Linked DNA regions of Canis lupus familiaris. The protein of the gene in region 2 interacts with the protein of the main gene of each other region in a biochemical or structural test. Links are inferred from orthologs where the notes say so. Each region holds a gene or a part of one and is shown on either strand. Other genes may lie near its edges.

The links. The genes of interacting proteins can lie anywhere in the genome.
Region 1: the proteins of CRK (region 2) and ERBB3 form a complex in vitro, tested with the Homo sapiens proteins (2 studies listed by BioGRID and IntAct, with this or other methods). The link is inferred for Canis lupus familiaris from reciprocal best matches to the Homo sapiens genes CRK and ERBB3.
Region 3: the proteins of CRK (region 2) and RAPGEF1 form a complex in vitro, tested with the Homo sapiens proteins (4 studies listed by BioGRID, with this or other methods). The link is inferred for Canis lupus familiaris from reciprocal best matches to the Homo sapiens genes CRK and RAPGEF1.

The regions. Positions count from the first base shown.
Region 1 is NC_049231.1:764,471-769,082, forward strand, and holds part of ERBB3 (receptor tyrosine-protein kinase erbB-3), read left to right. Parts: coding exon 1-28; intron 29-132; coding exon 133-274; intron 275-613; coding exon 614-727; intron 728-820; coding exon 821-941; intron 942-3,155; coding exon 3,156-3,229; intron 3,230-3,408; coding exon 3,409-3,499; intron 3,500-3,737; coding exon 3,738-3,943; intron 3,944-4,150; coding exon 4,151-4,283; intron 4,284-4,612. UniProt on the Homo sapiens protein: Tyrosine-protein kinase that plays an essential role as cell surface receptor for neuregulins.
Region 2 is NC_049230.1:45,570,013-45,575,247, forward strand, and holds the start of CRK (adapter molecule crk), read right to left. Parts: upstream 3,626-5,235; 5' UTR 3,519-3,625; coding exon 3,278-3,518; intron 1-3,277. UniProt on the Homo sapiens protein: Involved in cell branching and adhesion mediated by BCAR1-CRK-RAPGEF1 signaling and activation of RAP1.
Region 3 is NC_049230.1:52,613,725-52,618,336, forward strand, and holds part of RAPGEF1 (rap guanine nucleotide exchange factor 1), read left to right. Parts: intron 1-268; coding exon 269-421; intron 422-883; coding exon 884-1,007; intron 1,008-1,454; coding exon 1,455-1,638; intron 1,639-2,916; coding exon 2,917-3,426; intron 3,427-4,612. UniProt on the Homo sapiens protein: Guanine nucleotide-releasing protein that binds to SH3 domain of CRK and GRB2/ASH. Transduces signals from CRK to activate RAS. Involved in cell branching and adhesion mediated by BCAR1-CRK-RAPGEF1 signaling and activation of RAP1.

The DNA.
Region 1 (4,612 bases), on a different chromosome or scaffold from region 2:
CTCAGGCCCTCAGGATACAGACTGCTTTGTATGTACCACTGTTTGCCTGGTTCTGAAGTGGGGATGTGGGCTTTGGGGAGGAAGTAGGAATACTTACATAATGTGAGTTTTATGAATTTCCTATGTTCCTAGGCCTGCCGACTCTTCAATGACAGCGGGGCCTGTGTGCGCCAGTGTCCACAGCCTCTGGTCTACAACAAGCTAACTTTCCAGCTGGAACCCAATCCCCACACCAAGTATCAGTATGGTGGAGTTTGTGTAGCCAGCTGTCCCCGTAAGTGTCTAAGAAGAGGAACAATGATAGTAGAGCCAGGGTTTTAGAAAAAATTTTAGGAGATATAGGGATCAAGTTGGGTGGTAGAGGATGTAGGTTGTAATCTAATCACCTCCGGTGAATCCTCTCCCCACTGTCCTGTCTACTTCCCATGATTTCTAGCAACTGCTCCTAGTTCTGCAACAAAGAGCAAAGAGCTTTTCTCAGCCATAGGACAGCGTTTAAGGAACCTTGGGTGGTGGTTTGGGACAGATCCAGCACAGAGCAGGAGGGAGCAAGGTTCAGTTGCTCGTTGGCAGTGTTCCTCTCTTGTCTCTCATGGTGCCCTCCTCTCCCTAGATAACTTTGTGGTCGATCAAACGTCTTGTGTCCGGGCCTGTCCTCCTGACAAGATGGAAGTAGATAAAAATGGACTCAAGATGTGTGAACCTTGTGGGGGGCTGTGCCCCAAAGGTGAGTAGGAGATGGTGAAGAGCTGGTGAAGAGAACTTCCTTTCCCCAGAGACCAATCAGGCTCCACCCACTGAGCCTCTTTTGTGTTTGCAGCCTGTGAGGGGACAGGCTCCGGGAGCCGCTTCCAGACTGTGGACTCGAGCAACATTGATGGATTTGTGAACTGCACCAAGATCCTGGGCAACCTGGACTTTCTGATCACTGGCCTCAATGGGTTAGACTCTGCATTCCCTCTCTAACCCCCACTCCATCCATCCTCTCACGGTTCATTGCATTTGGCTCAACCCTTCATATGTGCAGCTGATTAGGAATACGAATCACAGGGGCACCTGGGTGGCTCAGTCGGTTAAGCGTCTGACTCTTGGTTCCAGCTAAGGTCGTGATCCAGGTGTCGTGAGATCAAGCCCCGCATCCTGCTCTGTGCTTAGTGTGGAGTGTCCTTGAGATCCTCTCCCCCTGCCTCTGCTCCTCCCCCTGCTTGCTCTCTCTCTCTCTCTCAAAATAAATAAAAATCATTAAAAATAAAAAAAATAAAAGGAATATAAATCATGAAATTTTAAAGGTTACACAGTACCTGACCATTCCTAACTCTGTCTGCCACCCAGGACTTGAATCCCTTGAGACCCCCCCCAAGGAATCTGATAACTGTCTCACTGCACGGCAGTGGACAAAGAAATTGTGTTCTCCTACTACTTTTTTTGTTTTTTGTTTTCAGATTTTATTACATCTATCTATCTATCTAACCATTTATTTGATAGAGACAAGGAGGGGGAGCTACAGAGGGAGAGGGAAAAGCAGGTTCCCCCACTGAGTAGGGAGCCCAATGTGAGACTTGATCCTGGGATCCTGGGACTGTTACCCGAGGTGAAGGCAGACAGCCAGCTGACTGAGCCACCCAGGCACCCCTTTATGTAAGAGAGAGAGGAAGAAGGACGCCCGGGTGGCTCAGCGGTTTAGCACCTGCCTTCGGCCCAGGGCGTGATTCTGGAGTCTCAGGATCAAGTCCCACCTTGGCTCCCTGCATGGAGCCTGCTTCTCCCTCTGCCTGTGTCTCTGCCTCTCTCTCTCTGTGTCTCTCATGAATAAATTTTTAAAAATCCTTTAAAAAAGAGCGAGGGAGAGAGGGAATCCCAAGTGGGGCCATGTCAGGAGCACAGCCCCACGTGGAGGACCCTGAGATCATGACCTGAGCCGAAATCAGTCCAATGCCTAATGGACTGAGCCACCCAGGCGCCCCTTAAGATTTTTATCTTTAAGTTATCTCTATACCCAACGTGGGGCTTGAACTCAACCCTGAGACCACGAGTCGCATGCACCACTACTGAGCCAGCCAAGTGCCCCTGCCCGAATCAACTTACTTTAAGAAAGATTTTATTTATACACACACACACACACACGTGTGCACGCTTGTGCACGTGTGCGGGTGTGCAAGTTGGCGAAGAAGCACATGGGGAGGGAGAAGAAGGGGGAAAGAATCTCAAGCAGATTCCACGCTGAGCACAGAGCTGGCCTGGGGCTCCATCCCATGACCCTGGGATCAGGACCCCAGCTAAAACCAAGACTTGGATGCTCAGCCAACAGCCACTCAGGCGCCCCCTGAATCAATTTTTAAAAAAAATTTATTGATTTATTCATCAGACACACAGAGAGAGAGAGGCAGAGACACAGGCAGAGGGAGAAGCAGGCCCCATGCAGGGAGCCCGATGTGGGTCTCATCCTGGGACTCCAGGATCACTCCCTGAGCCAAAGGCAGAGGCCCAACTGCTGAGCCACCCAGGCATCCCCTGAATCAATTTTTTGATGAGAGTTGCCACATGATGATTTTTTAACTCCATTATTCCTTTTGCATTTATTTGTCGGCATTTTAGTGTTAGGAACAGTTTTCCTTTCCCATTGATTGATTGATTGGTACCTATTTCACTCAGTCCTTTATAATCTTTTACAGTTATTATTTTGGTGTTGATTTGTCTCTGTTCTGGCCACTGGGGGCTTCTTCAAGCCAGATCCCAGATTCTTTGTACCCTTCATTCTCTGAGCACTTACTTCCTTTTTTGCATAAGATGCTATAAACTCATGTTATATTTCTCCCGCCCTACTCATTTCTCCAAGGAGCCCTGTTTCCTTTTAGTGGAGGATGGTATTAGAATGAAGTTCTGGGCAGCCCGGGTGGCTCAGTGGTTTAGCGCCACCTTCAGCCCAGGGAGTGATCCTGGAGACCCGGGATAGTCTCACGTCGGGCTCCCCGCAGGGAGCCTGCTTCTCCCTCTGCCTGTGTCTCTGCCCCCCTCTCTCTCTATGTGTCTCTTATGAATAAATAAATAAAATCTTAAAAAGGAAAAAAGAAAGAAAAAAGAAACTTAAGTTCTGAGGCTAGGTGTGACTGGGTTGTACCTGTATCTTGTTGACTGGTTTTGACTGTTCTCTCCAGAGACCCCTGGCACAAGATCCCTGCCTTGGACCCTGAGAAGCTCAATGTCTTCCGGACAGTACGGGAGATCACAGGTGAGTGGGAAGAGAGGCTGCTACCCTTTCTGAGAGAAATGAGTGAACCACTGACACAAATTGGTGTATAACTAGTTACAAAGTCATGTCCCAAGTGATGGGAGAGGGGCCACTAGAACCTGAGAAGGCAAGAAGGGAAGACTCCTTCCCCGCTGACGCGCCTCTCTCCAACCCGTCAGGTTACCTGAACATCCAGTCCTGGCCTCCCCACATGCACAACTTCAGTGTCTTTTCCAACCTGACAACCATTGGGGGCAGAAGCCTATACAAGTGAGTAGTTAGGAGTGTGGTGGTGGTAGTACCTCCAGGCAATGAACCCTGTTTCTTAGGCATCTTTGAGTGAAGCACACGTGTTGTCTCAGCATGCCCAAAGGGCTGAGAGTTGGAAGGGGAATCTCTCTTCCCGGTCTGACTGGCCCAGAGCACATTGGTTAAATGAAAAGGAATCCACTGCATGGTCATTTTCCCCTGTGTAATCTCCCTTCTTACCTCGTTTCCTTGTTCTCAGCCGGGGTTTCTCTTTGCTGATCATGAAGAACTTGAATATAACATCTTTGGGCCTCCGATCTTTGAAAGAAATTAGTGCTGGGCGTATTTACATAAGTGCCAACAAGCAACTCTGCTACCACCATTCTCTGAACTGGACCAGGCTGCTTCGGGGGCCTCCAGAAGAGAGGCTGGACATCAAGCATAATCGGCCCCGCAGAGACTGCGGTGAGGGGAAGGGCCCAGAGGGTGGCCGGGAAAAAGAAGTCAGGGAGGAGAGGGTACAGTGTGTAAAAACTGTTCTGCTCAGGAGTAGGGATCAGAGGGTAGAGCCAAGGAGAGGGGTGTGTTAGGCTGGAGGCACTTAAGAGGAAGAGCTCAGCAGAAGGCACGTGAGGAGAGCTGACTCCTCCTGTCTCACCCCTTCCTTCCCAGTGGCAGAGGGCAAAGTGTGTGATCCCCTGTGCTCCTCTGGGGGATGCTGGGGCCCAGGTCCTGGTCAGTGCCTGTCCTGTCGAAACTACAGCCGAGGAGGTGTCTGTGTGACCCACTGCAACTTTCTAAATGGGTAACACTGAGGGGAGAGAGAGGCACGAAGGGGTGGGAGGATGGGGCCCTGGGATGGATGCAGCTATTCAGCTGGTACCTGAAAGCCTTTAGTCCACTTTCTTCCTTTTTTAAAAAATAATTATTTTAGAGGGCGGGGAGGGGTAGAGGGAGAGGGAGAGAGAACCCCAAGCTGACTCAAGCCCCGATGAGAGGCTTGATCTCACAACCCTGAGCTAACTGGACTCGAAACCAAGAGTTGGATGCTTAATTGACTGCATCACCTAGGCGCCCCTAGACAAGTTTCTGCATATGCCTGGGTGGGATCGAGCAAGGGGACCCTGTGGTTGG
Region 2 (5,235 bases):
GGATCGAATCCCACGTCGGGCTCCCAGCATGGAGCCTGCTTCTCCCTCTGCCTGTGTCTCTGCCTCTCTGTCTCTCTCTGTGTGACTATCATGAATAAATAAATAAAATCTTAAAAAATAATAATAATAAAATAAAAAGATTCACCAGAAAAGGTTAAAAATATCCGATCCATCCTACCCCATGCCTCTAAAAACTGTATCTGAGCCATTCCATATTAATTCTACCCATGTATTATGTCCACAAAATATGCTATATAATCCTAAGCAAAAAGTTCATTTTTCATCTTCAATTTGCCAAATAAGGATTTAAAAGCCTCATCATTGACTTTTATTTATTTATTTATTTATTTATTTATTAAATTTTATTTATTCATGAGAGACAGAGAGAGGCAGAGACATAGGCAGAGGGAGGAGAAGCAGGCTCCATGCAAGGAGCCTGATGTGGGGACTCAATCCCAGGACTCTGGGATCGTCACGCCCTGAGCCAAAGGCAGAGGCTCAACCACTGAGCCACTCAGGCGTCCCTCATCATTGACTTTTAGATAAAAGACATGTATTGTCCAAATACTAAAGCTAGTTTCTTCTGGTCATCCTTTCCTTTTGGTCTTTAAACAGAACATAGGACCCTGTGACAGAAACAAATCTTCTATGAGCACTGTTCAGATCTCAAAAGGAAAGAGAAAGAAGTACAGAATAGTGTCAGCTCTCTAGTCAGAATTCCGAAGTTGAAAATCTGGCTCAGTCATTTATCAGCTGTGTGACCTTGGGCAAGTTCCTGAATCTCTCTGTTTCCTCACCTATAAAATGAAAATATTTTAGTAAATAGAGATTACAGTATTTCTCACCAGATTGTTATAGACAGAAAATGAGACAAGGCACAGAAAGTACTCAGCAAAGTACTTGGCACAGAATAACCAGTCAATAAATGTTAGCTATTAATACTCTACACGCTTTTCTAAAATTAAAGAAATTCCTCTGTATAGTTTCAAAAAGAAAAGAGCTTGACGGGGAAGCAAGGAGAACAAAGACTAAGTAACCTTTATAAAGACAGCAACTCAATCAATTGCTCTATGTGAAAAACTGGGCACATTACCAGAAACAAGAATTAACACAATGCCTGTGAACTTTCCACACCCCATCCACAAACTCTGGCAATCTTCACCTTCTCTCTTGAGCCAAGGATTTGAACTCCTATCTGTTATGAAAAGGTGGAGCTCAATATCAAGGTAAGCGCAGAGATATAAAGTCATAACACAAAGGTGTGTAGAAAGCTCAAACCAGCAAACCTGCCTGTTGTCATCTCCAAATTTTGCAAAACGCATACATAAAAGGTTGAAAACTGGGGGTGCAGGAGGTTGAAAATTGAATTTCAGTGACAGTTTGACATATTACTGCACTGTAATGCACAACCCTAGATACCAAGAAGGTGGTGAAAAAGCACAACATAGGGATCCCTGGGTGGCGCAGCGGTTTGGCGCCTGCCTTTGGCCCAGGGCGCGATCCTGGAGACCCGGGATCGAATCCCACATCGGGCTCCCGGTGCATGGAGCCTGCTTCTCCCTCTGCCTATGTCTCTGCCTCTCTCTCTCTCTCTCTCTGTGACTATCATAAATAAATAAAAATTAAAAAAAAAAAAAAAAAAAAAGGAAAAGCACAACATATCGGGTTTAGGGCAAATTTATGTTCTATCAATATTCCTGTCTCATGTTATGCTATTAAACCAAACAGACTGGGACGTGCCTGGGTGGCTTAGCGGTTGAGTGACTGCCTTCACCTCAGGGCATGATCCTGGGTCTGGGGATTGAGTCCTGCATCGGGCTCCCAGCGAGAAGTCTGCTTCTCCCTCTGCCTGTGTCTTTCATAGATAGATAGATAGATAGATAGACAGATGATAGATAGATAAATAAAATCTTAAAATAAAAATTAAACCAAGCAGACTGAGAAGACCTAGGATACTTCCTGGATTTAAAGATCTCATACTCTTCCTATAATTGATACGTGTTAGCAACAGAGACTGACTATCCCATCTCCCTATTTCTGGCCAGAGTGAATGAATCTAAATTAGGACTATCCCTAAAGGGCAAGTTTGCAAAGGCTGGCTCAGGAGGCTCCTAATTCTTATGAGACTGGCCTGGAGCTAGCCTCAGCTGGTCAGAAGAAAACTGCTTCAATTTGAAAAATGAGAAAGACTACAACTCTTGGTGCTGTTACACAGATGATGGTAATCTGACAATAACCTCAGAATTACTCTGTATTTCACAAATCTCAAGTACTAAGTGCATGAACCTCCTTAACATTCTCCAAACAGCTCTAAAGGCGTAAGTAGGACAGTCACATCTCAGTGATCCTTGGTTAAGAAAGAAAAGGGCCACAGCCCCAACTTACTGAGCAAGAGGCCCTGACATATGACATTGACAATGCTTAAGTCCAATGAAATTGGAAGTTCCATTCACTTCCAAGGAAGGGACTGTTTCCACTGGCTTATTTCCTGGGAGGGGTGTGGGGGCATAGAATCTGTCCTCCACAAAATACCCTGAAAACTAGAACCCTCTAATTGTGGAAAAGAGTCTCTGGACGCCAAGATCTCTTGGACACGGTCAGCTGGACATCAACTTGTTCTGGGCTGATCACAGAGGGCTTACTTCTGTCACCAAGGCACTTAGCTCACCACCTTCGTCCTCCGCGGGGGAAGAGGACAGTAAAAGTATTTTGGAAAGATGCCCAAGAAAGGAAAAAGCTGACCGGTTTCCTGAGGGTGTCTCCATCCCTCCGGGCTAGTATGTGGTGACTTCCTATCAAAGGCCAGCAGGGGAGAATAGCTCTCCAAACCAAACCCGGCTCTCTAACAGTACAGGAAATGTTTCAAGCCTAAAAAGCCACTTGTAGGATTATCGAATTCATCCTGGGAACCGCTGCCAAGTGATGCCCCCGCAGTGCCAATATCCCCCTCCGCTCTTTGTCCCCACGTTGCCCGCCCTGCCCTAGTGCCTGGCCCCGGCGCTAGCCCCACCCTGGGGCCGAAGCAGTTCCCCTTCCCCTGGGCTGTCCTCCCAAGTCACACCCAGAGGCCTGGGTCAGCGGCTCCTCCTCCACACACACACAACCGCCAGTGGTGGGAACGAGCCCGGGCACCAAGGTACCCCCATGCCAGGGTCGCTCCAGCCCTCTGCCCACGTCCCTCGTGGAGGCTAGCTCGCGAGGGGCAGCCGGTCAGGCTGGCGAGTTCCGCGGCCCTCACCCCGCCCGGGGCCTCCCGTCCCGTCCCGTCCGTCCTCACCGGGCGGAGGCTGGGCGGGCGACGGTGGCACAGACGGGCGCGGGCCGCTGCTGTTGATGATGTAGTGGGAGACGCGCGAGTTCTCCGAGACGCTGAGCACATAGTCCCCGGGGCTGGTGCTCGAGTCCCGCACCAGAAACACCCCGTGCCGCTGGCCCTGCAACAGCGCCACCGCCTCCTGCCGGCTCAACCGCCCCCAGTACCAGCTACTCCGCTCCTCCGAGTCGAAGTTGCCCGCCATGGCCGCCTCCGCGCCTACACGCTGGGCCGCCGCCGGCACGCGCGCCCCTCCTGCCCCGGCGCCCGCCGCCCAGCGGACCGGCTCGGGTCTCAGCTTCACAGCAGTGCCCGAAATGGCGGCGGCGGCCGCGGGCCTTCCCCACCGGAAATGACGCGCACCTTGCCCCCGCGAGGATGCCGGGAAGGGGACCGCAACCCGCCATGGGGAGAAGGGCAAAGGACAGCTCGGGTGCGCACTGCGCATGCGCCGCCGTGTGCGTCGCCGCCTGGCGGGGATCGGGACTGCAGGGGATGGAGGGGCCAAGTCCAGGGCCGGTGGTAGGGGCTCAGCGAGGAGTCGGCGGAGGTTTGTGTTTGCGGTTTTGGCCACGCGGCTCCAGGGTTCGAGTTCCTGGAAGGCCCGGGAATTCTAGGCAGCAACTCCGAGACACAGTTGGACTACAAAAGATGTATGTGGCCTCAGGGCCTGAGCTCCTGGAGACTTTGGTCCTTTTCTGGTGGTTCCTCCATCTTCTCTCTAGACTGGCTTAAGTATTTTGTTTGCACTGATTGACTCAGCAGTTACTGACACCACATTTGCTCTGTGGGTGCAAAGGTGATCAAGGTTTGGGCCCTGACCTCACAGAATTCACAGACCAGTGGGAGGAAGCAGGAACAATGACAAAGGAATTCCAAGCACTGTGAGAGGGAACCAACCAGGAGCTCCAGCCCAGTCTGTAAAGGGATTCAGTCCTCCACCTACCAGAGGAGGTGGCTTGAGCTGAATGTTGAATGGCCAGTAGGGGAAGAGCATGCAAGACAGAGAGAGCAGAATGTGCCAAGCCAGGAGTTCTCTGGATTGAGTCTTTCAAGTCATTTGCCCAGATTCTTCTAAACACTAGTCGTGGCCAGGGGTATCCTCTATTCTCCTTACTATCATGATCTCTGTCTCTGTATTCCATATCTGTATCTGTATTCCTGTGAACAGCCTGTTCACTGGTGCCCTATAGACTTGCTGCTCTAAGTACATTGCACACATCTGACAGTGTGTGCTTTCTAAATTACAACTCTAAGACTGTTCCTACCCTGTGCACAACTTTTAACAGTCTCCAGAACTGGGACGCCTGAGTGGCTCAGTGGTTGAGCATCTGCCTCTGGCTCAGGGGGTGATTCTGGGATGTGGGATCGCATCCCACATCAGGCTCCTTGCAGGGAGCCTCCTTCTCCCTCTGCCTACATCTCTGCCTCTCTCTGTGTCTCTCATGAATAAATAAATAAATAAAATCTTAAAAAAACAAACAAACAACAGTCTCCAGAACTTAAAATTCCCAGTTTAGGTCACAGCATAAAATGAGGTCACAGTGTCCTCTTAACAGCTCCTACATGAACCTTGTGTTTCTTTTTTCTGGAATACCCTTTCACTCCTTTCTGGATCTGAATCTCAAATGTCTTCTCTTTTTTTTCTTTTTTTTTTAAGATTTATTTATTTATTTATTCATGAGAGACACACAGACAGAGGCAGAGACACAGGCAGAGGGAGAAGCAGGCTCCATGCAGGGAGCCTGATGTGGGACTCGATCCCGGGACTCCAGGATCACGCCCTGGGCTCAAGGCAGGTGCTAAACCTCTGAACCACCCAGGGATCCCCCTGTCTTCCCTTTTTTAACCAACTATTACTTCCTCTCTGCATCCATAGCCCTGTGTCCATATTATTTCCATTACAGTTCCTACCCATTGTA
Region 3 (4,612 bases), about 7.0 Mb from region 2:
CTTTAGACCATGGAGTCTGAGGCTTCCTCTTACAGACAAGGAAACTGAGATGCAGTCAGGAGGACTTGGCCAGGCTCCTGCTGTGTGTTGGTGATCCACCCAGACTCAAAACCCATCTCTGCTGTGGAGCTCCAGACACAGTGTCTAGGGCTCCTGCCCCTCGGCCCGGTGCCCCCCATTATTTCCATGCTCGGGTCCCATTGCACCCTGCCCAGGACCTCTGTGTGCTCTGTAACCTTCTGTAATCCAAGTTCTTCTCCTTCTCCAGCCAGTCTGAGCTCCCCCTGACAGATTGCGAGGTGGAGATTCTCAACAAGACAACTGGCATGTCCCAGTCGGCCGAGCTACTCCCAGACTCAACAGATGAGGAGGTTGCGCCCCCTAAGCCCCCCTTACCTGGCATTCGGGTGGTTGATAACAGGTAATTGTTTTTCTTGCACCTTCTTCTACTTATGATATAATCTAATGAAAGAATAGGTAGATGAACAAAATGAAGACAGTGCCATTAGGTCAAGAACTTGGAACCAGCCCTTTGCTCTTTGGAAGCCTTAGAATCTTGATCTTTCTTGGGAAGGGCATCTGTGGAGGATGTGAGCCCAGCCCCAGTACCTTCCCTTGCTACACACTCCAAGAACTCCCCTTGGAGTGCCTTATAGTCTTAGTATAATTTATTATAAAAGGATAAGAAAGGATTTTTCTGATTTTTGGTTTTTTGGCATTGATAGGATTTATTTGGGCAGTGATGGTGTGGGACAAGAGTTGAAAGTGTGAAAAGTAGGTGTAATGTGTCTGATAATGAAAGAATCCCACATTCTATACCCTAATGTCTTTTTAAAGAGTTTTTGGGTTATTCGGTTTGATAGAATTTCTTGGTCTGTTTCAGTCCTCCACCAGCATTGCCACCGAAGAAAAGACAGTCAGCTCCATCCCCGACCCGAGTGGCTGTTGTTGCCCCCATGAGTCGAGCCACCAGTGGCTCCAGTTTGCCTGTTGGAATTAATAGGCAGGTAATGTAGCCCCATCTGGCAAGGCAGAGGAAGGCTTTGGGTTTGGGAACTTTAATCCTGAAGCTAAAAGAAACCCAGTGGTCTTCAGCTCCTAGCACTGAGAGGATCATTCCTTCTCTTGACAGGACTACAGGACCTGGTAGAAATTCCCACATGGCCGGGGAGGGGGGGGGGAGGAATGGAGAGACTGGAGCTGAGGAGTGTCTCCTGAGGACATCTGAGCCTGGCCCCAGGGCCCTCGCTTGCCACACAGTCCCAGCACTCGTAAAAGCTTCTTTCTCAGAAGTCACAGACATGGGTTTTTATTGCTTACATCAAAGACAGGCTTTCCAACCGGGTTTCTGAGTTTGGCAGTCTCCTTCCCTAAGTAAACGTACTGATTTCTCTCCCCTGGACTCTGCCACCATTTCTCAGAAGTGACTTGGGCTTTTTATTTTTCCACATGAGGATTTTGATGTGGACTGTTACACACAGAGGCGACTCTCAGGAGGCAGCCACTCATACGGCGGAGAGTCGCCCCGTCTGTCCCCCTGCAGCAGCATAGGCAAGCTCAGCAAGTCAGATGAGCAGCTGTCCTCTCTGGACAGGGACAGCGGCCAGTGCTCCCGGAACACAAGCTGTGAAACACTAGGTGAGTCCCAGGCATCTTGGTCATTCCTCCTGTTTCATCATCTTTTGGTGGCTGCTCTGGGGTCACACGGCCCTAGCCAAGTCGTTCAGAACCTGTTTTCTCATCTGCAGAGTGAGGGTACCAATATCTACCTCTCTCAAGGAGGTTGAAAGTTTGGATGAAATCACATAGGAAATCCTCAGATGGTAGCCATTATTATGGTTAATCTGTCAGTGTACCATCTGACTCCCTTTGCCAGCATTAAGAACCATCTGTTCAGAGCTGTAGATGAAGGGGGAGAGTCCTTGACGACTTTTGACAGAGGGTGAAGTCAAGTGACCAGCACATGCTGACCTCCTGGTTGGTGCAGAGCATGTGCCGTGGGGGCCGGAGGAAAGTCTAAAAGGCACTTGGCAGGAGATTTCAAGAGCGTTAAACTGCTCATGTCCCATGAGCTGGACATTTCACTTTGAGAATTTATTGTAACATGATCAGAGATTTATAGCAAGATTTCTATCCAAGGACATTAATCTCAGCATCACTGGGAGTACTGGTAAACTGGAAGCTAACGACTCAGCGGTAGGAAATCTGATGAGTTGTCATATATCCACTTGGTAGAATAAATATGTAGCTCTGAAAAATCAGTGACAATACACTAGATAAAATCTAAGACCATGGACATCGCAGTTTCTCAGTTGGATTTAAAAAACAAAAAATCCTAGGGGGGAAAAAAGACTTTTAAAGAAATCCATCAAAATGTAAACAGAGGGCAGCCCGGGTGGCTCAGCAGTTTAGCACCGCCTTCAGCCCAGGGCATGATCCTGGAGACCCAGGTTTGGATCCCATGTCAGGCTCCCTGTGTGGAGCCTGCTTCTCCCTCTGCCTGTGTCTCTGCCTCTCTCTGTCTCTCTCTGTGCCTCTCATGAATAAATAAATAAAATCTTTTTTTTTTTTTTTAAAGTAAACAGATACTTAAATTACGGGACTGTGGATGATTTTTATTTTCCTGATATGGGTTTTTTTGGCCATATTTTCTACAGTGGTCACACATATTTCTTTTCTTTAAAATAAGAAATTAGGAAAATACAAAGAACAGGGTAGCAAACAGCCATTTTCCCACCTGCTTTTACTTTTTCAGAGGGAGAAGAATGGGCAATATAAAATAAAGCATATAGATGAGATGGGAATTATGTTTGCATTGCACACGAATAAAAGGGATTAGGAAGAGCAGAGAGTTGGATGATTTCTTTCTGCAGGGCCTTGTGGCTAATGGGTATGTTTCTCTTGTTGTGAACACAGATCATTATGATCCTGACTACGAATTCCTTCAGCAAGACCTCTCTAATGCAGACCAGATACCTCAGCAAGTGGCCTGTAACCTTAGCCCATTGCCAGAGTCTTTGGGAGAGTCTGGGTCTCCATTTCTTGGCCATCCTTTCCAGTTGCCTCCAGCGCCTGGCAGCTGTCCCCAGCCAGAGGGGCCCTTGGCCCCAGGACAGCAGATAGACATGCCACCTGCTCTCCCTGAGAAGAAGCGCAGGAGTGCGGCCTCCCAGACCACGGACAGCTCTGGCTGCAGGATGTCCTACGAGCGGCACCCCTCACAATATGACAATATCTCGGAAGATGACCTGCAGAACCCAGCCTCGGTCCCGTCCATCCCCTTCACGCCCTTTGCTGCTATTCTCCCCTTTCAGCAAGGAGGGTCCTCAGCCTCTGTCGAATTTGTGGGTGATTTCACTGTTCCTGAATCAACAACGGGTGACCCAGAAAAACCACCTCCTCTACCAGAGAAGAAAAACAAACACAGTAAGCTTTTGTCGAGCTGTTGTCAGGAAGCATACTTTGTAACCTAAAATGGTATTGTGTTTTATCTGAGCGTTAGGCCAGAATCAAACCAGTGGCCTCGTAATTTCATAAAAGATGGGGCCCTTGGTACATGGACACTTCAGGAGCTTTGTTTTGTCAGTACTGGTGATGGTTTTTAGAGCCTGATAAGCCGGCCTCTCTTTATGGCCTCTTAGATCTTAGGCCAGGCCTCCACAGAGTCCGAGTGTTTGGCCAGAACACACAGCAACAAAGAGAAATGAATGTCACAGCTTCAGGACAGCATAACAGTAACATCCGGGTAAAGCAGGATGGACGTTTGAATTTAATTAGAACTTACTGCGCCCACAGAGGGGTTTTCTGAATATCCCTGACAGCGTGTGGGGTTAGAACTCTCTTTAGAGAGTTCCCTGCCCCCGCCCCCCCATCCCCATTGCAGACATGAAATGTCACTAATGACTTAGAATCTGAGGAGGCCTGGTTGGAGCTGCTGAGGATATTTCTTAGGCCAGATATATATATATATATATTTTTTTTAGGCCAGATATTTTTAATATATGATGTTATTAGGGCCGGGGAAGGGAGACTGAAATTTTAGATTTTTGTAGTTGGAATATTTTCCAACTGTAAATTGGCCATCAAATTCCTAAGTAGAGTCCTACAGGAGATTGTTTTTCTGCTAAACTGCTCCCCGTTGCCAGTCTCTTCCTGCTCTGCCCTGTCCCCGGCTCCACTAGCACAATTCTGTTCCGTCTTTCTTGGACATACTGGCCATCACCATTTGGATGTGTGTGTAGTCATCTGGGCCATACAGCCCCAGGGCTCCCTGGCCACAGTTGAAGCGTCCGGCAGAACACTTCTGTCGACTAGAATCGACTCTCCATTCCATATTCCCAAATGAGACCATCCAGTTGGCTCCAGCTAGATTGGGGCCCACCCTCAAAGACAGGGAGAGTGGTTAAAGGCAGCAAGGGGTAGCCCCAGGGGCAGCTGGGTGGGCCTTGTCCCCCAGCGGGAGGGAGAGGTGGCTCTGTAAGTCCACAAGGCTGAGGTCATTCCCCCCTGTCCTTCGCTCGTGAGAAACCAGGGCACTACTAGAGGGATGGCCTGCAGCAGTGCCAGGGCATTTCCCTCTGTGCCTCTGCACAGACATGTGCAAGTGTCTAGA